3 linked regions of the Elephas maximus indicus genome follow. The protein of the gene in region 1 purifies or fractionates together with the protein of each later gene. This does not show direct contact. Links are inferred from orthologs where the notes say so. Each region holds a gene or a part of one and is shown in the gene's direction. Other genes may lie near its edges. The genes, in order: CDK1, SAMHD1 and CDC25B.

What was found.
Region 2: the proteins of CDK1 (region 1) and SAMHD1 purify together in Homo sapiens (affinity purification with western blotting; 3 studies listed by BioGRID, with this or other methods). This does not show direct contact. The link is inferred for Elephas maximus indicus from reciprocal best matches to the Homo sapiens genes CDK1 and SAMHD1.
Region 3: the proteins of CDK1 (region 1) and CDC25B purify together in Homo sapiens (affinity purification with western blotting; 4 studies listed by BioGRID). This does not show direct contact. The link is inferred for Elephas maximus indicus from reciprocal best matches to the Homo sapiens genes CDK1 and CDC25B.

The regions. Positions count from the first base shown.
Region 1 is NC_064834.1:27,395,502-27,403,263, reverse strand, and holds the start of CDK1 (cyclin-dependent kinase 1), read left to right. Parts: upstream 1-3,709; 5' UTR 3,710-3,923; intron 3,924-6,978; 5' UTR 6,979-7,003; coding exon 7,004-7,040; intron 7,041-7,762. UniProt on the Homo sapiens protein: Plays a key role in the control of the eukaryotic cell cycle by modulating the centrosome cycle as well as mitotic onset; promotes G2-M transition via association with multiple interphase cyclins.
Region 2 is NC_064843.1:32,594,352-32,602,113, forward strand, and holds the start of SAMHD1 (deoxynucleoside triphosphate triphosphohydrolase SAMHD1), read left to right. Parts: upstream 1-3,094; 5' UTR 3,095-3,308; coding exon 3,309-3,519; intron 3,520-7,762.
Region 3 is NC_064843.1:42,405,381-42,413,142, forward strand, and holds the start of CDC25B (M-phase inducer phosphatase 2), read left to right. Parts: upstream 1-2,695; 5' UTR 2,696-2,887; coding exon 2,888-3,087; intron 3,088-3,939; coding exon of another isoform or gene 3,940-3,981; coding exon 3,982-4,070; intron 4,071-4,905; coding exon 4,906-4,957; intron 4,958-6,757; coding exon 6,758-6,799; intron 6,800-6,948; coding exon 6,949-6,985; intron 6,986-7,287; coding exon 7,288-7,641; intron 7,642-7,762. UniProt on the Homo sapiens protein: Tyrosine protein phosphatase which functions as a dosage-dependent inducer of mitotic progression. Directly dephosphorylates CDK1 and stimulates its kinase activity.

The DNA.
Region 1 (7,762 bases):
TTTCAAAGCTCCACTAGAATCACTATCCTAAATTATAGTTCCAACCATAGGCCTCTACTGTCCACACCCCTTAGAACAGCATTCAGGACTCTTCAAGATCCTGACTCCAAACTCCCTTCCCTTCCTGAACACCCACTGGATTCCCTGCACCCTCAATGGAAGCACCCTGGATTACTCCAGCTGACTTTCAGGCCTCTATGCATTGCTCATGTAATTTTCTCTGCTTGAAACGCACAATTCTTTCTCATGTATTTGTTCAAATGTCATTTCCTCTATCAGAATGAGCAGTTTCGTCCTCTGTGTTTTCATGTCACCTTATAGCACAAGTTACAACAGTAAGTGGCAGAAGAGAATTCTAAATAATCATTGTGCTCCCTCTGCGAACACACTGAGAGTAGACAGTGTATCTTATTCATTTTTGTGTCCACAAAGCAGTGTTGCACTTGAGAGACATTGAATACAAGTTAGCAGCAAGTGTGATAAGCTGTATTTGTAGAGATGATAGCATGAATTTACAGTAACCCCTGAAACTTTAAAAAGAAAGATAATTGAGTTAACTTGAATTACTTAGCCTCACAGCTGTGGACGCTTGTGGCCTTCTTTATGCTTAATGTAAGATGAATATAATGGATTACTTGCTGTTTTATAAAATAGAGTTCCTTGCTTAAGCCTCCCAAAGAGAAAGACATACACTCATTTGTTAAAAACAGTAACCTAAACTAGCAGAGAACAGCCTGTATCCCTAGGGCGCTTCTCTGGGAGACCAGTTTCCAGTTAAAAAGTAAATTTTGGGTTTTTTTTTTTAATAATTTTTTATTGTGCTTTAAGTGAAAGTTTACAAATCAAGTCAGTCTGTCACATATTAGCTTATATACACCTTACTCCATACTCCCACTTACTCTCCCCCTAATGAGTCAGCCCGCTCCCTCCTTCCAGTCTCTCCTTTCATGACCATTTTGCCAGTTTCTAACCCTCTCTACCCTCCTATCTCCCCTCCGGACAGGAGATGCCAACACAGTCTCAAGTGTCCACCTGATACAAGTAGCTCACTCTTCGTCAGCATCTCTCTCCAACCCATTGTCCAGTCCCTTCCATGTCTGATGAGTTGTCTTCGGGAATGGTTCTTGTCCTGGGCCAACAGAAGGTTTGGGGACCATGACCGCCGGGATTCCTCTCGTCTCAGTCAGACCATTAAGTCTGGTCTTTTTATGAGAATTTGGGGTCTGCATCCCACCGATCTCCTGCTCCCTCAGGGGTTCTCTGTTGGGCTTCCTGTCAGGGCAGTCATTGGTTGTGGCCGGGCACCATCTAGTTCTTCTGGTCTCAGGATGATGTAAGTCTCTGGTTCATGTGGCCGTTTCTGTCTCTTGGGCTCATAGTTGTCGTGTGACCTTGGTGTTCTTCATGCTCCTTTGATCCAGGTGGGTTGAGACCAATTGATACATCTTAGATGGCCGCTTATTAGCATTTTAGACCCCAGACGCCACATTTCAAAGTGGGATGCAGGATGTTTTCATAATAGAATTATTTTGCCAATTGACTTAGAAGTCCCCTTAAGCCATAGTCCCCAGACCCCCGCCCTTGTTCCGCTGACCTTTGAAGCATTCAGTTTATCCTGGAAACTTCTTTGCTTTTGGTCCAGTCCAGTTGAGCTGAGCTTCCATGTATTGAGTATTATCCTTCCCTTCACCTAAAGTACTTCTTATCTACTAACTAATCAGTAAATAACCCTCTCCCACCCTCCCTCCTCATAACCACAAAAGTATGTGCTCTTCTCAGTTTATACTATTTCTCAAGATCTTATAATAGTGGTCTTATACAATATTTGTCCTTTTGCCTCTGACTAATTTCACTCAGCATAATGCCTTCCAGGTTCCTCCATGTTATGAAATGTTTCACAGATTCCTCACTGTTCTTTATTGGTGGGTAGTATTCCGTTGTGTGAATATACCACAATTTATTTAACCATTCATCCGTTGATGGACACCTTGGTTGCTTCCAGCTTTTTGCTATTGTAAACAGAGCTGCAATAAACATGGGTGTGCATATATCTGTTCGTGTAAAGGCTCTTATTTCTCTAGGGTATATCCCGAGGAGTGGGATAAATTTGGGGTTTTAAAAGTAAGTTTTAAAAGTTGTTAGGCTCAGCGGGGAAGTTTACCAACTCTTATTTCCACCATGGACCCCAAATGCTCTGCCTCTGTGGCCTGAGAGTGTAATGTTGTCGAGTCTGAGTTATTGCCACATGTAGGGCCAGATGACAGACTCTGCTCCTTCTCCTCAAGTTGTGTGGGATGGTATCAAACACAATGCTTGGGATATACTACTTCCATTCTTCATCCTAATTAAAGCTTTTTTTTTTTAATTAATTTTTATTGTGCTTTAAGTGAAAGTTTACAAATCAGGTCAGTCTCTCATACAAAAATTTACATACGCCTTGTTCCAAAACCCAGTGCCATCCAGTCGATTCCGACTTATAGCGACCCTGTAGGACAGGTAGAACTGCCCCATAGAGTTTCCAAGGAGCGCCTGGCGGATTCCAACTGCCAACCCTTTGATTAGCAGCCTTAGCACTTAACCACTACACCACCAGGGTTTCCATCCACCTTGTTATACACTCTTAATTGTCAGAGCTTTTTTAATACACATTTGTAGAGGTCGTGGTCCAAAAAGCTCAAACCTGTTGCCCTCCTCTGGATTCCGACTCACAGCGACCCTATAGGACAGAGTAGAACTACCCCATAGGGTTTCCAAGGAGCAGCTGGTGGATTCAAACTGCCCACGTTTTGGTTAGCATCTGAATGCTTAACCACTGTACCACCAGGGCTCTGAGAGGTGGTGATAGTCGCTATTCTATGCGTAGTTATCATCAATGCAAAGATAACCCCAGTTCTATATACTGTTTTGTTTCCTAAAGGCCTAAAGGAGCCCTGGTGGGGCAGTGGTTAAGAGCTTGGCTGCTGACCAAAAGGTCGGCAGTTTGAATCCAGCAGCCCCTCCCTACAGGGTCACTAGGGGTCAGAATCGACTTGACCCGTACATAACAACAAAGGCGTAACATAACAACAAAGGGGTAACAAATAACAACAAAGGGGTAAGAATGATGTTCAAGAGCAGAAATCCCTCTTAAGGGTATGGCGGAGGGGAATGAAACAGTTTTTGACACTGGATTACTTAAAGTATAAGGTCTCCTCTTCTCCCCTCGTAGAACTGTTAATTTTTGTGCATGTAAAGTACATTTAAAATTCTGATATGAACACATTTTAAAATTAAACAAAAAAAGTATATTTTTAACACACTAAGGTAATTTCTTTAGATCACTGAGAGCATCTTTCAGTTTTCCAATATTTTCATCTTGAAGGCAACTAAAAATGTGCTCCTTTAGAGAAATAGTTACGCCTAGGCTGCAAGCCACTCAGAAAAACATAAATACACATTAGCCTTAAGTATTAGAATCGGAAGGAATGGAACCTTGATGTAAGTGTAGTTTTATTTTTGTGATAAGCTATTTAAGTGTGATAAAAATTAATTGTATCATTACAGAGAGAGAAAAACCCCACGGAGAACAGCAGATTACCAAGGACTTAGAAACAGTAGGACGACGCTCCCCTGGAATGAAAGAGAGCGCTTGCGTGCAGACTCAGTTGGGGCCCGCCCTCCTGCTTCCTCTCCTGCCGCCGTTTCCTCTTTCTTTCGCGCTCTAGCCAGCGGGGAAAGCAGGCCCCAGCGTAACTGAGCTCTGATTGGCTCCTTTGAAAGTCTACGGGATACCTGATTGGTGGATCCGAGACCCTTTAGCGCGGAGAGTTTGAAACTGCGTTCACTTAGCTTCAAACCTGGATCCTGGAAGTTGAGGAGAGCGACGCGGACGTGGTAGCCGCTGCCGCCGCTGCCGCCGTCACCACCGCGGGATAATAAGCTGGGTAGAGTTGCAGGGGTCAGGGCCATGCCGACGGGGCGCGGACTTGGCAGGGGCTGGATCGGGGCTTCAGGAGGGGGAGTACTGAGGCATGAGGTGTTGTTTGGGGGCCCGGATTGTGTCTACGTGGCCCAGGCCTGGCCTCGGGGGGTGGGGGTAGGTAGGGCCTGGAGCTCGGGACCCGCGGCCTGAGCGTGTAAGCGACGCCGGGGCCCCACTTAAGGGGAGTCTAGGGGACATCCAGTCCTGAGTGGCTTACTCCGTGGAGGGTTGGGGCTGCCTTGGCTTCGGAATTCCAGGGTGGGACCGGGGTCGGCTGTTTTTAGGAAGGGGCTGCCTACCTGGTTGAGGAGGCTTTCTGGTTATAGTGCGAACAGAGTTGAAGCAATTTAACTGCACTTGTTCGAGGACGCTGAGCTCCCGTGGAGTGCCAGGCTCGGTCCCGGGTCCCGCGGTCGGGGCCTGCCTTCTGCGCACGCTCCGCTCGGGCTTCGAGGTGGGCCAGGTACCCGGGCCAGGTACCCACGCCGGGCACTCAACCCATCGGTCCAGAGAACCTGACCCGGTGGACTTCTGTACCTTCTCGGCCTTGCTGCACCCCACGGCCCTTGCCCACCCACACCTTACAAGGCGGCAGAGCCAGAGGGAACTTTTTAAGATTTGTTTTATACTTGTAGTTGTTGTCTACTATGGGATAGACAAAAAATGGAAAGAGTTTTTATTCAGAGCAAGGCAGTTTGCAAACTGGGAATTCCAGGGTCCTGCGGATTCTGAAATAAGTGATCCGAGTAGGAGACAGTTTAGAGAGTTTTTATAATACAAGGAACTTACGGTAAAAATTTAGTGATTGGTTAACATTTAGGTAATGGTGACAACATTGGGCAAGGATACATCTGATTGATAGATTACATACATTTCTAAAATTGCTTAAAAGTTAGAGTAATCGTTAAATTGGGTGCAGCTGGCCTTGAAGCACTCATGAGACCCTTCTTGGTGACTGCAGGGAGGACATGAGTAATTCTAAAGTTTATCTTGAGGAAGCATCTGTACTGAGAATTGTTTTGGAACTGGTTTTCTGAGCAGGGTGTATATTTTGAAACGTGTGTTTTTAGGCCTCTAATTAATTTTTATCTAGTGTTAACATTACTCATCGGCCCGTTTTGCTTCCTCTAAGGGACTCTGGAAGTCTCTGGACAGGAAGACTAAGCCTAGTGGGTACTCAGCTTCCTGCAGCTAATAGTGCTGAGCCTCAGGAGGGGCACTGGAGAGGCCTTCTAAAGCTGCTTGTTTTACTTAAAATTGTTACAACTGGAAGACCTGAGGAGGGTAATCGAAGCCAGCTTTGGAATTGTTAGTTTTTAAATATTTATTCGAAGTGAGCTCAACAGTTTTATCGTGCATTAGACGTATCACATCTGGTTATTGAGGAAAAATAATTGTCCTAAGTTCTCCGTTACAGTTTTATAAAATGAGAAATTCTTACAGTAAGCCCTCATGCCCAGTGTTGTGGAGTTTTGTTTATTCACAATGATTTACCCTACTACTTTCTGTTGTGATTTTTTTTTTTCCTGCGAAGGTGGGTGGAAGAAATAGAACGTCTAAGGATCAGCTGCTCAGTTGATCTTTTCATGCTTTTATCGTCAGTGATGGCTGAGTTAGAAAAAAATCAAAGTAATTCTGCTTTGGACTTCTGAAGTTATGTTTCATTGGCAAGCTTACCAGCTGAGGAAGTCTTGAGTGTCTGGTGGCCAGCAAATAAGCTTTTATTTATTTACTTACTTTTTTATATATATAGTATAGTTCCCCCGTGTACAATTCAGTGAGCGTGGTTAGATTCTTTGAGCTGAGCAACCGTTTTCACCCTCTTCTGAGTTGTTCCTCCCCCGTTGGCATAAACTCATTGCCCCCTAAGGTTCCTATCTAATCTTTGGAGTTACTGTTGTCAATTTAATCCCATATAGATAGTTCTTAAAAGAGCATAGTGCTGAGGCAGGCATTCTTTACTAGAAAAAGGTTAAACTCTTGTTTGGCTTTAAGAAGACTTCAGGGGATGTTTTTGGTTTAAGGTTTAAGGATTATCTCAGCAATAGTTTTGGATGTTGCATAGTGTGCAATTAGAAATTTATCTATGGGATGGTACTTTTCAGCTTTACCTTTCAGGGATGTTTCCTACTCTTGGAAAAAGTACTTTGAAAGACTTTTAATAGATGAGCAAGTCTGTGGATGTGACTGCTAAAAACAAAGCAGAAAGTTTAAAACTGCCACATGAGTAGCTATAAACACTTAGTTTTGGGGGCTCAAAACAATCTAATGGGTGAGCAGTCTGACCATATTTTAGCTCCCTACTCATGTCTTTTACAATTTTTTTCTTTTGAATTAACATCTTCATAAAAATGTAAAAAGCAGTACAAATTCAGTCAAATGACATTAGTTGCTGATACATTGGTATAATCTTGGCATACGCTGCTGCTCCTTAAAAGTGTTAAAGAGAACATACTCCTGGTTTTTGTTCGGGAAGGATGGACTTTACTTGTAAATCCATTAATTTGAGGGTTAATTTGATTAAGAAGGAGCTAAGTACTAGTATGGAATATATAAATACTTTCAATGTTTTAGATGCTAACAAAAAAAAAAACAAACTCATTGACATCGAGTCAGTTCTGACTCATGAAGACCCTGTACAACAGAGTGGAACTGCCCCTTAGGGTTTCCAAGGAGCTGCTGGTAGATTTGAACTGCTGACTTTCTGTTTAGTAGCCAAGCTCTAACCAGTGCACACCAGGGCTCCTTAGATGGTAAAGTGGGTGGGGAAGTCTTATTGCAGGTGTCCTTATCCTTGTAAATATTTTACATATAAATATTAAATAAGTATTGTAAGTATTAAAATAACTTACATAAAATATGTAAATATTTTAGTATAATAACTAACATTTGTGGAATACTTAATATAAAATGCACCAAACACTGCTAAATGTTTCACATATAGTGACGTAAAACCACCTTTTGAGTTAGTGGCCTGTAATCAAATCAGTCTCTTTTTTTTTTCCTTTTCATTTTAGGATCTACAGTACATATTGAGTAACTATGGAAGACTATACCAAAATAGAGAAAATTGGGGAAGGTGAGTGATTTCAATAATTAAGTTTTAAAATGATTTAACGATGCTACAACACCCATGGCATAAAGAAATGTAAATGTTTGTATAACTTAACCTCTAAGGTATCTTCCAATACTAATATTCATAAATTTAAACATTCTTTACATAATATACAATAACCTAAACATCACAAAATTATTCACATTTCTAGAGAATTAAACTCATTCTAATATATATGGTTCCTGATGGCTCCTCCCCAAAATATTAGTATTCTCCTAATACTAAACACTTAAGTAATATCTGGGAGCCCTGGTGGTGCAGTGGCTAAGAGCTCGGCTGCTAATCAAAAGGTCAGCAGTTGGAATCCACCAGCTGCTCCTTAGGAACCCCATGGGGCTGTCTTATTGTGTCATATAAGTAATGTTTGTGTTTTGAAAACACTATTGATAACTGTTATGTGGTGGGGGGAATTATATATTAATTTCATGTATATTTTTAGTCTTCTATACTTTGGAACCCTGGTGGCATAGTGGTTAACAGCTTGGCTGCTAACCAAAAGGTCAGCAGTTCGTATCTACAGCTGCTCCTTGGAAACCCTATGGGGCAGTTCTGCTCTGTCCTTTAGGGTTGCTATGAGTTGGAATCAACTGGAGGGCAATAGGTTTTTTTTGTTTTTTTATAGTTACATTTAAGGAGCTCTGGTGGTGCAATGGTTAATCGCTCACCTGCTAACAGAAAAGTCAGAG
Region 2 (7,762 bases), on another chromosome or scaffold:
GACTGCGAGTGGATTTAAGTGGCAAACTGAAGAGCACAAGCTTTAGAGTCTGACAGCCACTGGCTTTGAATCCTGACTCTTCTACTTACCAGCAATGTGACCTTGAGCAAGTAATCACCCTGTGCAAGATCAAGTGCCCCTATAAAATAGGGGGCTGGGGGAAAAATAAGGAATACAACATTAAATTATACTTGTTATGGATTGAATTGTGTCCCCCAAAAATGTGTGTCAACTTGGCTAGGCCATAATTCCCAGTATTTTGTGATTGTCCACCATTTTATCATCTGATTTTCCTATATGTTGTAAATCCTACCTCTATGATGTTAATGAGGCAGGATTAGAGGCAGTTATGTTAATAAGGCAGGACTCAATCTACAAGATTAGGTTGTATTTTGAGTGGGTCTCTTTTGAGATATAAAAGAGAGAAGTGAGCAGAGGAGATAGAGGGACCTCCTATCACCAAGAATGAAGAGCCAGAAGGGGAGCATGTCCTTTGGACCCGGAGTCCCTGCACTGAGAAAATTCTAGACCAGGGTAAGATTGATGACAAGGACCTTCCTCCAGAGCCGACAGAGAGAGAAAGCCTTCCCTTGGGTCTAGCACCCTGAATTTGGACTTCTAGCCTCCTAGACTGTGATAGAATACATTTCTCTTTGTTAACGCCATCCACTTGTGGTATTTCTGTTATATCATCACTGGATAACTAAGATAATGCTTTTTAACAAACAAAAACAAATAGAAAATAAAAGTTCTCAAAAGCAGCTGCTTTGAACAAACCCAACTGGTTAAACTTAAAACCCTGCTTATATCCCTTTCTATTGCCCAGGAACCCTTGTTGTCAGGGTAGATTTTCCCCAAGTCTCATAAGCACAAACTTTCAAACCAGCCATTTCCAACTTCAAATATAAGTCTTTCACACATGCGCTATTTATTGTGTCTTTTACCCCCTTGTTTCGATTACACAAGTTTTGGCAACTGTCAGATTTTTTTTTACAAATTGTTTAGTGCTTAAGGACACTTGCTTTTCTGCCTTAGCCTTATGTACCAATGGAGAGCAAATCTGGTGGTACAGTGGTTAAGAGCTCGGCTGCTCACCAAAAATGTTGGCAGTTTGAATCCACCAGCCGCTCTTTGGAAACCCTATGGCACAGTTCTACTCTGTCCTATAAGGCCGCTATGAGTTGGAATAGACTCAACAGTGAGTTTTTCTTAATACTCCCTTACCTGAGCCCTGGTGGCCAGTGGTTAAGAGCTCCGCTGCTAATCAAAAGGTTGGCAGTTCGAATCCACCAGCCGCTCCTTGGAAATTCTACCGGGGAGTTCTAGTCTGTCCTATAGGGTCACTATGAGTCAGAATCAACTCGGCGCCCGTGGTTTGGGAATTTGGTATACTCCCCCACAAGGGCTCGATAGCTGGCTAATGCATCTTGTGCTCAGCCACCACACTTCTGTCAGTGAATTCTTGCTAGTATGCCGCCCAGGTTTCAGCGGAACAGCCAGACTAAGACAAACTAGGAAGAAAGGCCTGGCGATCTACTTCCAAAAATCAGCCAGTGAAAACCCTATGGATGACAACAATCCAATCCACATCAGATCATGGAGGTAGTGCAGGACCAGGCAGCGTTTCGTTCCGTTGTGCACGGGTCACCATGAGTCAGGGACCGACTTGAGGACAGCTGACAACAACCAAAAACACCAAACCCCTTGCTGTTGAGTCAATTCTGATTCATAATGACCCTATAGGACAGAGTAGAACTGTAGCATAGGGTTTCCAAGGATCAGCTGGTGGGTTGGAACTACCCACCTTCTGGTGAGCAGCCAAGCTCTTAACCACTGGGCCACCAGGACTCCTAACAACAACAGCAGTATAAAATAATTTTGTATCAAAAACCTATTAACAAACAATGGTGGACAAGTTACTAAGACCATGGACTTGGGAGCCAGGCTAGAATGCCTGGGTTTGAACCCAGGCTTCATCACTTGCTAGCTGTGTGATCTTGGGCAAATCACTTATCTCACTGTGCCTCAGTTCCTACAACATAAGGTTATTGTGGTAAGTAAATGAATTATTTGTGAAGTCCTTAGAACAGTGCCTGGCACACAGTAAAGCTCTAAGTGTTTGTTAAGAGTATTTTAGTTCCCACTCAATTATTAGTTCATACTGCTTGATGATGAACTAATGCGCCTCATTCATCCTTCATCCCCTGGATGGGAATGGTAGAAAGGTGTACCGTCTTTATTATTATTGGTAGTAGTGGTATTGGTACCATCCACCACCCACTGCCGTCGAGTTGATTCCTACTCATAGCGACCCTACAGGACAGAATAGAACTGCCCAGTAGAGTTTCCAAGGAGCGCCTGGTGGATTCGAACTGCCGACCTTTTGGTTAGCAGCTGTAGCACTTATTAGTAGTAGTCCTTTAATTCAGTCAGTTGCATGGACCAGGATTTATAGGAAAGCTTGGGCCCTGCCCCAAAGGGGCTGACGTGAGAAGGAGATGCCTGCCATTTTCACACATTGATACTTTTGGATAGTAAAAGTCTTTGAAGGTAAATTTTGAGAAATCAGATTGACCCCTTCCCTTCCTCTGAGCAGGGCGTTGGGGTGGAAAGAGGAGTTGAAGGGGTCTTTCCAAAGATGTGTCTCCATTTGGAGGGTAGAAGTTTAAAGCCCACCTCTTTAGGGAACCCTGAAGGAAGTGTTCATGGATAGACAGGCATCCCCAATATTGAAGTGCAAGATTAGGGTCTTCGACTTCAGCCCCTTGCCCATTTTTCCCTCTTCATTGGAAAGGTGCTGACAGTGTGATGGCCTTTTATATTTAAGTTTAAAAAACAACAACAAAACAGTTGGCGTCGAGTCAGTTCTGACCTATGGGGGCATCTGAAATCCAGCCAAGGGGACGCCTGGGATAGTCATTTGGAGGAGAGCTACCTTCAGATCGCCAGAAGAGCAGCCATTCCAGAGTGTGGCCAGATGTCCACCAGGGCACGCCCTTTCCCCGCCCCTGCCATTAGCACCGACCAGAGCCCGGGCCTTAGATACACTTCCAGCCCCGCCCCTTAACGTAAACTCCTCAGCCTAAGCGAGGACGACGGGATTGACGCTGCGCCTGAGCAGGTGGCCATTTGTTTGCAGTTGCTGGACTGCTTTGGCCCAGGGCTGGGCTGTCAGTGCGCCTGCGCGGGAGGCCTGTTGGCCGGCAAGGCTGAGCGGACTCGCCTCCAGAGCGGGGTAGCCAGTGCGTCTGCGCGCGGGCCGGCGCCGCAGATCCTTGACTCGGCTGCGCCGGGCGCTGGGTGCAGCCATGCAGAGCGCTGAGCCGGAGCAGCCCTGCAAGCGGCCCCGACGCGATGGGAGCCCGAGAAGCCCGCAGAACACCCAGACTGCAGCGGCGCCGGAATCCCCGGAGCGCGAACTCCACCCCGACCCCAAGACCTGGGGCCCTGAGCAGGTGTGCGCCTTTCTAAGGCGCAGTGGCATCGGTAGTGACCCTCTGCTGCAGACACGTTTCCGAGGTAACGGGGCTAGAGGGGCCGGGGTGGGGGGGCCCAGGGACGCCGATCCGAGGCGGGAACCAGCTGGGGCTGAGGAGAGTGCGCCCTGAGGTAGGGGGCAAGGGGCCCCAAGGAGGACGACCTAAAGCGGAGAAGGGAAGCTGGACGCGGGAGGCGCCCAGAGGGGGAGACCTGAGGTGGGGAATAGAGACAGGAGGCAGAGAGCCTTCGGGAGGAGGCCACCTGAGCCGGGGAAGGAAGACTCCCCCCGGAAGGCACTCAGAAGGGGTGGACCTTGGCCGGAGGGCGCCCAGGAGAAAAGGGGGCCACTTGAGGTTGGAGGGGCAGTGGCAGATTTTGGTCTTACTTTGATGGGTTTCTTCAGGAACTTGCTACCCTAGTGCCAGGTGGATGATACTCGAGTCCTTTTTGAAGTGAGAGAACTTGATTGGAGGGTTGCTGTCATTCAGGCTCTGTGTTACCGCAGATCCTTGCATGCTTGCCACATTAGAGTATGTTCTGAGGCTTTTAAGTTTCTATTTCCCGTCATTTAACTCCTAGTTGTCCCGAAGGGGAGGGAGCTTGTTCATCTCTGAATTAACATAGCATTCCAGTAGGGCTCTAAGCAAGTGTTTGTTGACTGGGTCAGCAGAGTTTGGTAATATTTTGCTCTTCGAATGCAGTTTCCCTTGCTCATTCTGAACACTGGGGTTGTACAGCTGACCACTGAACCCCAGCAGCCCACACCTTGGTCACAATCGCATGGGGGCAGTATGGACTCAGTGAGCCCTTGCTCACACCAGATTTCTGAAGTAGCCTATGTAAGTGCCTTTACTGTCTCATCGTGTTCAGTATCCATCCACTTGAAATCTACTCAACTTTCTGTGTTGGAATGTGAAACTTAGCTCCCAATTTATTCTCTGAGGCGCTCAATAGGAAGGTGGTTCTTTAGTGGTTGTGATTTGCAAATCAAGTTAACTTTTGCAATGGTAGGGTGGTGCCCATTTTGCTGAGGTTGTTTTTTTTTTTTTTTGAGGACAGAGGTGGGAGGAACTTCAGTGTTTCAGGACCTAAAGATAGCTTGAATGGGTGCGGGGAAATTGCAATTCTCTTTTTTAGCTTCCCCCTTTCGTTTCGTTTTCCTCCAAGGCAGGGATGGAATTTTTCTTTGAGTAGCAAGCACGGGACAGGAGTAGCTTTCAATTTTGTCTCTAGAATATGACTGGCTATGTTGTTGAATCTCTGTTTCATTTGTGCTCTGTAGATTAATTCAGCAGCCTCCAGATCGATCTATGTTCTCTCAAACATGTAGTCTAGTGCAGCAGAAGACACTACATGCCTTCAGTGGGTAAAATTCAAGTACAAGGTGCTGGTTCCATGTTTCATTGTGGACTACAATCTTACAATATTCCTGAAATGTAAATGCCATAACCCACGATTTTTATAGATGAAGTATTTGAGGTCTAAAGATATTAAGTAACTTGCCAAAAGTCACACAGCTAGGAAAAAGCAGCTGGATTTTAAGCTTTGGTCTTTGGACTTCAGGACTCATGCCAGTTATACCTGAACATATGCTCTCATCAGAAACCACTGGAGAACATAACCAAATTAGAAAATCATATAAGAGCAAAGGGGGAAAAATAAAATAGAAAAATGGGCAAAATAACAGACTGTTGACAACCAGCCAGTAAACACAGGAAAAGATGTTTACTTTCAACAGCAAGCAAAGAAATACCAATTTTTGCTTTAGACAGGAAAAGATTTAAAATGTTGATAATAGGGGAAATGTTCAATAAAGTTTATGGAAATCGCAATCAGCTCAACCATATTAATGGACAGTTTGGCCATACCTTTTTTTTTTTTTTTTGGTAATACCTTTTGACTTTAAAAGAATTTCATTTATAGGAATTTACAGATGTAATTGAACTGGTATTCAAAGAATGTATTCAAGTGATTCTTGTAACCATAGGTTATATAAAAAAAAAAAACAGAAAATTAGAAATAACCTAAATATACTACTAATAATATATAATAGTGAAGGCTAACATTTATTGAAGGAGCCCTGGTAGGCTAACAGTTAAGCATGATGTCCTTCTCCAGGGACTGATCCTTCCTGATAGATAACATCCAAAGTATATGAGACGTAGTCTTGCTATCCTTGCTTCTAAGGAGCATTCTTAGTTGTACTTCTTCCAAGACAGATTTTTTTGTTCTTTTGGTAGTCCATGGTATATTCAGCGTTCTTCCCCAACATTGCAATTCAAAGGCTTCAATTCTTCTCTGGTCTTCCTTATTCATTGTCCAGCTTTCGCATGCATATGAGGTATTGAAAATAGGATAGCTTGGGTTAGATGCACCTTAGTCTTTGCTTTTTAACACTTCAGAGGTCTATTGCAGCAGATTTGCCCAGTACAATGCATCCTTTGATTTCCTGACTGCTGTTTCCAAATGAAATCCTTGACAACGTCAATTTTTTCTGCATTTATCATGATGTTGCTTATTGGTCCAGTTGTGAGGGAGCAGAGTTGCAATCCCAGTGGGCCTAGAAGGCAGAGCTGAAGACCAGGGCCGAGGGGCCTCTACCCAGAACCCAGAGAGCATGGTTAATACACAGAGCCTCAGGCCAGGGCCGTTGCCTAGATGGTCTCACAGAAGATAGGATTATTTTCAAGGCTTGAGAGCTAATGTAAATTCTTTTGCTGGGTTTGGGACTTGTCTGGTGCCTATTATCCCATCTTTCCTCCTAATTTCTCCCATTTGTAATAGAAATGTCTACCTTGTGCCTGAACCCCCATTGTACTTTGGAAACATAACTTGTAATCTAGATTTCACAGGTTCACGGACAAAGAAGGATTAATTCAGAAGATGAGATTTTGGATTTGAAATTTATTTAAGACTTTTGCATTGATGTGAAGGGGTGAATGTGTTTTGCATGTGGCTAAGACATGAATTTTGGGGGGCTGTTATATATTGAATTGTGTCCCCCCAAAATGTGTATAAACTTGGCTAGGCCATGATTCCCAGTATTGTATGGGAATTCCCAGTAAGTGCCAAATAGTAAAAGCCTAGATTGCCTTGAAGAGACTGTTGGTGGAATTATGGACATCAAAGGCAATACTGGCTCCGAAGGAAGTGAAGAGATCTGCAACGCTGGAGACAGTGCAGATGGTGGGAAGCAGGAGCAGATAAATGGTGACAGCAAAACTGGCATCAGATGGTACAGGAGCGGATCCATGGAGTGAGAGAGCTGAGTGCTTTTGGGCAGGAGGTTTGTTTGCAGAGTAGGGTACCTCTAGGCACTTATCGCCAGAGCTAGGTTTGCTGAACCACGGAACAAGAGAGCTGAGCACCTTCAGGCGGAGAGGCCAAGGAAACAGGAAGCAGAAACTGAAGAGACAAAGAGCATGGGAAGCAGAGCTGCCTCAGTCTCAAAGGCTGGGGCCACGACCTCTGAGGTTTCAAAGAGTCAGATCTTCAACTCAGCTCTGGAGTGTGGGGCTGTCATTCATGTGTGTCAGGGTGATGGGGCCAGATCTGCTGCCCACAGCTGAGGGGACAGGGCTGCCACATCCAAGGGGCAGAAGAACGGGACCTGTCAGGGCTGAGGAGGTGGGGTCACCACTCAGATGGACTAGGAGAATTGGGCCGCCCAAATCCAAAAGAGTCAAGTTGCCATCCCAGTGGGCCTAGAAGGCTGAGCTGAAGCCCAGGGCTGAGGGGCCTCTACCCAGAATCCAAAGAGTGTGGAACACCCAGAGTCTGGAGGGCAGGGCTACTGCCTAAATGGTCTCAGAGAACAGACAATTATTTTCAAGGCTTGAGAGCTAATGTAGTGTGTTCTCCTGGGTTTTTGACTTGTTTGGTGCCTGTTATTCTTTTTTTTCCCTCTAATTTCTCCCATTTGGAAATGTCTACCTTTTGCCTGTTCTGCCATTGTACTTTGGAAGCAGGTAATTTGTACTGTAGATTTCACAGATTAAGAGGAATTTTGCCCCAGGATGGAATTTGGACTTGGAGTTGATTTAAGTTTTGGGATGATACAATGGGCTGAAAGTGTTTTACATTTGGCAAAGGCATGAATTTGGGGGGGCAAAAGGGTAAAATGTTATGGATTAGATTGTGTTCCCCAAAAGTGTGTATCAACTTGGCTAGGCCATGATTCCCAGTATTGTGTGATTCTCCACCATTTTGTGATCTGATGCGATTATCCTATGTGTTGTAAATTCTAACCTCTATGATGTTAATGAGGCAGGATTAGAGGTAG
Region 3 (7,762 bases), on another chromosome or scaffold:
ATTGGTAACTTGTTGAAATGATGTTGTTTTGCATATATTAAACCCATTGCCATCTAGTAGATTCCAACTCATAGCGATCCTATAGGACAGAGTAGAACTGCCCCATAGGGTTTCCAAGGAGCGCCTGGTGGATTCAAACTATCAACCTTTTAATTAGCATCTATAGTTCTCAACCACTAAGCCAACAGGGTTTCCAATACATTAGGTTAAGTAAAATATTAAAAGTAACTTCACCTGTTTCTTTTTACCTTTTTAAATGTGCTTACTAGAAAATTTTAAATTACATATGTGGCTCAAATTTGGCCTCCCATTATGTTTCCATTGGCTAGGGCTATTACAGACTATCTCCAGAGGAATATAGAACCAATTTATAACAGTGGCTCCCTCTGGGGAGGGAGTCCTGAAGGGTTGTGTTGGGCGGAGATGGACTTTTCACTGCCCTTTTGTACCATTTAAATTTTCTCTTTTGTCTGAATTTTAGTACCATCTACTACTTTTTAAAAAACATTTAACACGTCACAAAGCCATGACAGAAAAGGCACTAGAAAAATTAGTCCCACAAAGGAGATACTATGTGGTTACAGACTTGGAGAAACAAAAGATTTTGCAAACACTTGATAATTTTTCCTCCCCTTTTACTAAGGCCCCAGGGTCACACCAGAACCAGATGGTCTCAAGGTGATTCCAACTCATGGAGATCTTATGTGTGTCAGAGTAGAACTGTGCTCCATGGGATTTTCAATAGTTGATTTTTTGGAAGTAGATCACTAGGCCTTTCGTCCAAGGTGCGTCTGGGTGGACTTGAACCTTCAACCTTTCGGTTAGCAGCCATTAACTGTTTGCAGCACTCAGGGACTCCAGGGTCACACTGGATCACCTTAAAAGAGCTGAGAGCTGATGTATAGGACCTTATGCCAAACCAAAAATCCATTTCTGCCAAGTCAGTTCCAACTCAGTGACCCTAAGGACAGAGTAGAAATGGTCACAGGGTTTCAAAGGCTGTAAATCTTTATGGAAGCAGACTGTCCTATCTTTCTCCAGCCAAGTGGCTGGTGGGTTTGAACCTCCAACCTTTCCCTTAGCAGCTGAGCGCTTAACCACTGCACCAGCAGGGATCCCTACCTTATGCTCAGATGTCTGTTTACTGGGAAAATGGAGCTGTCTGCCACCCAGAAATTTCAGCCTAACCAGTGCCTGGGCTGAATAGGAGGAGTGGTCCTCTTGCCATAATGGCTATAAATATTTCAATGTATTTTATTGACTAGTTTTTTTGTTTTGACTGAGCACATGATCTATGATAGAATTGACAAAAAGATTCAGGGAGAGTTGGTGTGTGGGATGGCCTGGAGTGTCTCCTCTGTGGCCCTGGCCCTGGGTCACTGGCCCAGTAGGGACCTTCTGACTGGGGGATTTCAAGGAATTAGAAAGTATAACCCCCCACCCCCACCCCACACACACACACACAACTGCTGTGTTGATTTTGAAAATGTAGCCCTCAGGGCAATTTTTTTTTTGGTATTTGGGGTGGGCAGCCTCACAGGGGCCCCCAGACACTGAGGGTAGTCCCAGCCTTGGATGTTGGGAGCGGCTGGAGGTCCAGACCTGTACTCCTGACCCAGGACGGATGACCCCAAACCTCAGCCCTGTTTGGCACAGCACAGGAGGTGGCCAAAATGCTGAGATAAAGAAAGATCACCTGTGCCCACCATGGTCTCTCGTCACAGGGGGTACTGGGGTCTTCCCCTTGCCTCCACAAATCCGCCAGCCCACCCACTGCCAGTCCTTCCCTTTCGCCATCCCACTTCCTCGGCTCAGGGAGTCTACTGCGCCCTGGCTGGATGGCAGATGCTGCATGGAAAGGACGCAGGGCTGCAGCTTTTGCCTTCCCGAGCTGTGCCCCCGCCTCTGAAACCCTTGGCAATCCAACCACGGCGCCTCCTCTCGGGCTGTGGGAGAAAACTGGCCTCTTGGGTTCACATCTAATCTGGGGGTCCCTGGAAGCGCCTGTCAGTTCCAGGTTCGCCCCCCCCCATACCGCCCCCAAGTCCTGTGCAAGGGTTTCTGAGTGGAAATTTCACTTGGCGACCGGCTGGCGCTGCCAGTCGTGGGGGCAGGCAGGTTGCAGGCTTCTGAGGCTCCTGGATGCCAATGTCGGTCGGCTGCACGACTTGCGCAATCGTGTGACCTTGGGCGAGTTAATTAACCTCTCTAGACCTCAGCGTTCGCGGCTGTAAAATGGGAGAACGAACACAGACCGCAGAGCAGCCGTGTTAGGCAAATTCCTCGAGCCAATTGAGCCTCTTCAAGGTGCCTGCTGGTGATTGTATTTGATGTTAAATTGCGGGGGGCTTTTCGGAGACCCCCACCCCCAGCCCCAGCGGGCTGTTGCTTCCTCTGGGGTCCTCTCCACTGGAGACGTATAGCTCCGGGCCACATCCTGAGAGAGGTGGAATTCGGGAGGCCAGGATCTTAGCGGCCAGGCTTGGTGGGGGGGGGGGGGGGGGGACAGAGGTGTGGGACAGGACCCAATTCTCCCCCCCAACCCAGAGCCTGGGAGCCGGCGGGGCGGGCCGGGTCGGCCCCGCCCTCCTGCAACCCGCGCCGGGATTGGCGGCGTCCGGCGGCGCGGCCGCTGTTATTTTTCGAATATATAAGGAGGTGGAAGTGGCAGCTGCAGCCAGAGGCTTCTCGGACTGGTGGCTGGTTCCTGCGCCCCTGCACCCCTCCCCACCCTCCCCGTCTCCCTCGCTCCCGGCCCCGTTGCTCTCCCTCCCTCCCTTCCCTTCCCCCCGGGCGGGCGCCCTCCCTCGCCTCGGCCAGCTGTGCCCGGCGTCTGTTGGCGTCCCCGCGCCCGGCCTTCCAACCAGCCTCCTGCGACCCTGCCGCGATGGAGCTGCCCCAGCCGGAGCCCGCGCCGAGCTCGGGTCTCAGCCCGACCGGCGTGCGTGGTGGCGCGGAGCGTCCGGACCACCTCCCGGGCCTCCGGCTGGGAGCTCGCGGCTTCTTGGGGTCCCCGGAGCGCGCGGCCGCTTCCTCGCCGGTCACCACCCTCACACAGACCATGCACGACCTCGCCGGGCTTGGCAGGTAGGACGGCCCAGGAGGCTGGGCATGGGGTAGGAGGCCCAGGTTGGGATGTGGTCCCAGGACTCCTTGGGAGGCCGGCCTGGAAGCTGAATCTAAAAGGTGGGGTGCAGAGGCCGGGGCGGTGCAGCTCACACACTCCGGGCGACCTGCTCTCCGCCCCACCTCCTCCTTCTCCCGCATTGTGCCCGCACCACGCTATCTCCCTAATCTCTGTCCAGGCGGGGAATCCCAAACCTGGTGAGGGAATTTGGGGTGGCAGAGCAGTCCGGTCCTCCCATCTCCTTGGTCTTGTTCCCCACCCCCACCCCGTCCCAATTCTGCTGGGGGATCCGGGGTGAGGGGATTAAAGGCCGATCTTGCTCCTTAAGCAAACCTGCATGGTTCGGGCTGGGTTGCCCTAGCGGCAGTAGAGACGCAGGTTTTGGCCTTTTCTCCAGAAAGGCACGTGGATGGGTGGGGGCCTGGAGAGTTTAGGGAAAGCCTAGGGCTTCAGCTCCTCTGCTGCCTACCCATTCCCCAGGCTGGCTCCTCCCCCTCATCCTTCTTGCCCTGGCCCTAGGCTTTCCTCCCCCTGCACCCAGGAGGACCCTTCCTAAAGCAAGACAAGAAATGTAGGGCCACTGTAGGATGAGCCTACCTTGGTCTAGGAAAAAAGTACATTGCCCTTGATAAGCCCACCTCCTTGGTGTGGTGCCCTACTGAGTCCTTCCCCCAAGGAATCTGCTGCCTTCCTGGGACAGTACAGAAGCTGATGGGCCCTTCAGAGCGGGGTGGTGGGCTGGAACACGGGCTGTCAGCCCCTGAGCCCCACATTTACCTTTTTCCTTCTCTGGGCCCGTGCTGCTTTCCCAGCGAGACCCCAAAGAATCAGGTAGGGACCCTGCTCTTCCACAGCGGCAGCCGGCTGCCGTGCCCATCCCTGTCCCGACGACGGGCATCTGAGTCCTCCCTGTCATCTGAGTCTTCTGAAGCTTCTGATGCAGGTAAGGCCCAGGGGTGCCTAGGGAGGTCCTCTAGTGCTCCAAGAGTTTGAGGGGGCTGTCTGAATCTCCCAACCTCCCTGATGGTCAGATTAACATCTTTCCCACCACCTGGTGGGCTCTGGAGCTTCCCCTCTTGTCCACTCATCTGAGAGGAAGACACACCTCTGGTGGAGGTCACCACACCCAGCCCAGACAGGCCGACTGGAGGGTGGGGCCCTAAGGGGAGATCTCAAACCAGGCACCAAGGGTCCTGAACCACAGCCCCCTGGGAGGCATTCAGGGCTGAAAGCTGGTCTTTGTATAGCCTTCTCTTACCTTAACCAAAAAAAAAAAAAGAAAGAAACCCGTTGCCATCCAGTTGATTTCCGACTCATGGCAACCCTATAGGACAGAGCAGAATTGCCCCATAGAGTTTCCAAAGAGCTCCTGGTGGATTCAAACTACTGACCTTTTGGTTAGCAGCCCTAGCACTTAACCACTACACCAGCAGGGTTTCCCCTCTGACCTTAAGCTGTAGCTTTTTCCTTTAAAGGAATAATTTGCTTCTAGAGCAAATGATTTTAAATCTGTTCAAGAAAAACGCTTAGCAAGGGTTGCAGTTTAACAACGCATAGAGAGATTTTCATAATAAACAGGCCCAGGGGCCCTGTGCAATTTGGAGGACAATATGTCAGCCTTTGAGGTCCATGGATGGTTTTTGTTTCATTTTTTAATGTGTCAAGATCTTAAATAGAAACAGATTTTCTTTCCCCCCTTCTTTGAATAGGGTTGGGACACAGTAGAGAAAGTCCGGGAAATTTCACTACCTTCCTACCAAAGTGTTCTGTCCCCCCAGGTCTCTGCATGGACTCCCCCAGCCCCATGGACCCCCAGGTGGCAGAACAGACGTGAGTAGAGAATGGAGACCCCACACCAAGGAGTCAGCGCTTGCCTTGGGAATCCCAGTTCTAGCATAAACTCACTGGGGGTATCTGGAGAAGTGACAAACTCTGCAGGACCCACATATGGGGGAACTCAGGGGCCATCTCAGGTTCCAGGATTCTGCCCCCATCTCAGAGAAGGGTCTGCGCTCATGGGAGCCAGCTGGGAGTGGGCTCAGGGCCAGGGGTGGTGGGGACAGTGACTCCAGCCAGCCCTTATCATGTAGGAGCGTGGGCCCAATGCATGGCCCATCTTTCTTTATGCCTGTACAGATTATTTCTGTGAAATACCACAGTTTTAGAATGGGGCCCAACTAACTCCATTTTGTTAACTTGCTGTAAGCCTAACAAAACACACTTGCCTACAGGCTGGTTTGGCCCTTGACCGTCAGCAATATCTGGCTTCAGTGACTCTTGGCCCTCTGGCCAACCCCTGGACCAGGGCCCTGTGAGACGGAGTGGGGCTGTCCCCTGGACAGACCCTTCCCCCTTGGTGGTGGGGCATGGATAGTGTCTTCCAAAGTACAGCTGTTCTGTCCAGCTGTTAGGGCTCAATCAGGGGGAACAGCTGCCAGCCATTAGTGGGGACAGCTGGGCGTCCCCAGCTGGGCTGGGGAACTATAGGTTTGAGTTTAGGGCAATGGCTGTCTTTCCTTCATTGCCTTTATCAGCCTGGGCTGGGCTGCAGGGTTGGTTCACAAACAGGAAACAGAGAGTTGGGTGGGGGTGCGGGTAAGGGTGGAGGCTGCAGGTTAGGTTTTGGTGGAAGCACAGTCAAAGCTGGACCTGCTTTACCCACAAGACCCAGGTGCTGACTGGAAACCAAACAAATGGAAGGGAAGATCTCTGATGCCAGGGCTGCTGGGCATAGCCTCCACCTAGGGGCCATCCTTCTGACACTTTAGCCCTGAGTCTCCCTCCCTCCCCCACCTCTGCACCTGCTTTGACGGTTACACAAAGTTCCTCAGAAAGAGTCTGGGGTGTGTGTGTGTGTGTGTGTGTGTGCGCACGTGCATAGATGCACAAAAGCCCTGCGTGGCAGGTGGTCTCCTGTAACATAGCTGGGAGGCGGGGCCTTGGTACGGAAAGCTTATGCCCTAGCCTCAAAAGGAACATCTGTCGGAATTCCTCGGCCTCTTCTAAGGCAGGAGGAGGGGGTGGGACAGAGGCTTGGGTCCTGGAAAATTCCATAGGAGGGAGGAAAGGATGTGACCCAGTGCATTTGTCACTAGGGGGCCTGGCGTGGCAGATTGGGACTGATCCAGGGGAACATTAAACCAGGCCTCTGTCCTGGGGTGAGGGGGCAGGCCAAGGGGATAGAAGCCCAGCCTTGCTGGCATCCAGGCCCTGGAGACTCCCGCATTGTCGCGTGCCGGGCCTGTCATCTGCAGGATGGATGGATGCTTTTCCTGGCGGCCATATGGCCCCACTGAGGCGATTTGCATACAGGTGGAAGGCCTGTGGGCAAGCTGGCGAGACTGTTGCCTTGGTGACGCCTCAGTGACCCTGCGACCAGCCCCAGCTGTCTCTACCACAGCCGTTCTCTGCACCCTCTTCCATTTAGAGCGGCTTTAAAGTCCTAGGCTGCCTCTCATCTCCCCTCCCCAGTGTCTGGCTCTGATAAAAGTGGGCATTCTTCCTACTCCTCATTTCCACTGGCCCTTACCCTCATTCTTGCCCCCAGGCCTTTGGTCTGGGACCTGAGGCTGGGGGAAGGAGGCGGGCTACAGGAAAATGGGCTGCATGGGGTCCCCCTCTCTCCCCTAGGTTTGAACAGGCCATCCAGGCGGCTAGCCGAGTCATTCGGAAGTGAGTGTTCCAGGGCCTTCCTCACTCAGTGTTGGGTGGCATGGGGAGGGTCCTGGTGTATACAGCTCTGTGGCGGGGGACATGCCGGGTGCTCTGAGTCCCTGCCCCCTACTCTCCCAGCCCTGACCTGCCCCCATTTCGGTCTGCAGTGAGCAGTTCTCCATCAGACGTATCCAGTCCATGCCGGTGAGTGCTCTCTGAGGCCAGGCATGGGGAAGGGTGGGAGAGAAGGCTGCACGGGAGGATTTGGGGCCCTGAGGAATCTGGCCTGTGTCTGTGGGTCTGACCACCACATCTTTGCTAATTTGGGCCCAGGATAATGACGAAGTCCCCTCCCCCAGCTCACCTCCCAGAAGGTGGACTTACTTCAGGTGGCCGGGTGTCCCTGGCCTGGCTGTGGGAGATGGGGTCCAGAGGCAGAGGGACACACTGAGGATTCTCTGGCACCAGAGAACCCAGCCTCAGTACCTGCCCTCCCTGCTGTCTAGGTGAGGCTTCTGGGCCACAGCCCTGTGCTCCGGAACATCACCAACACCCAAGCGCCGGACAGCTGGAGGCGGAGCAAGGCAGGCAGCAGAGCTGCCAGTAGCTCCGTGGAAGACAAGGAGAACGTGCGTTTCTGGCAGGCCGGGAAGGGAGAACTCCGGGAAGGGGAGAGCACCGCGGTAGCTCTGTGGCATTTGATGACTGTCCCCCCACCCCCCCCATCTTGCCCACAGGATGGATTTGTCTTCAAGATGCCATGGAAGCTGGCATTTCCCAGCCACACCCAGGCTATGGCCGAGTGGGCCAGCCGCAGAGAAGCCTTTGCCCAGAGGCCAAACTCAGCCCCCGACCTGATGGTACATCGGGAGGGCTGACCCCTTGCAGCCCATGGGAGGGGAGGGTGACCCTGAGTCCCAGGCAGTTGAATTTGGGGCAGTTGGGAAACTTCCTGGGAAGGCTGGGGATGGGCGCTGTAGT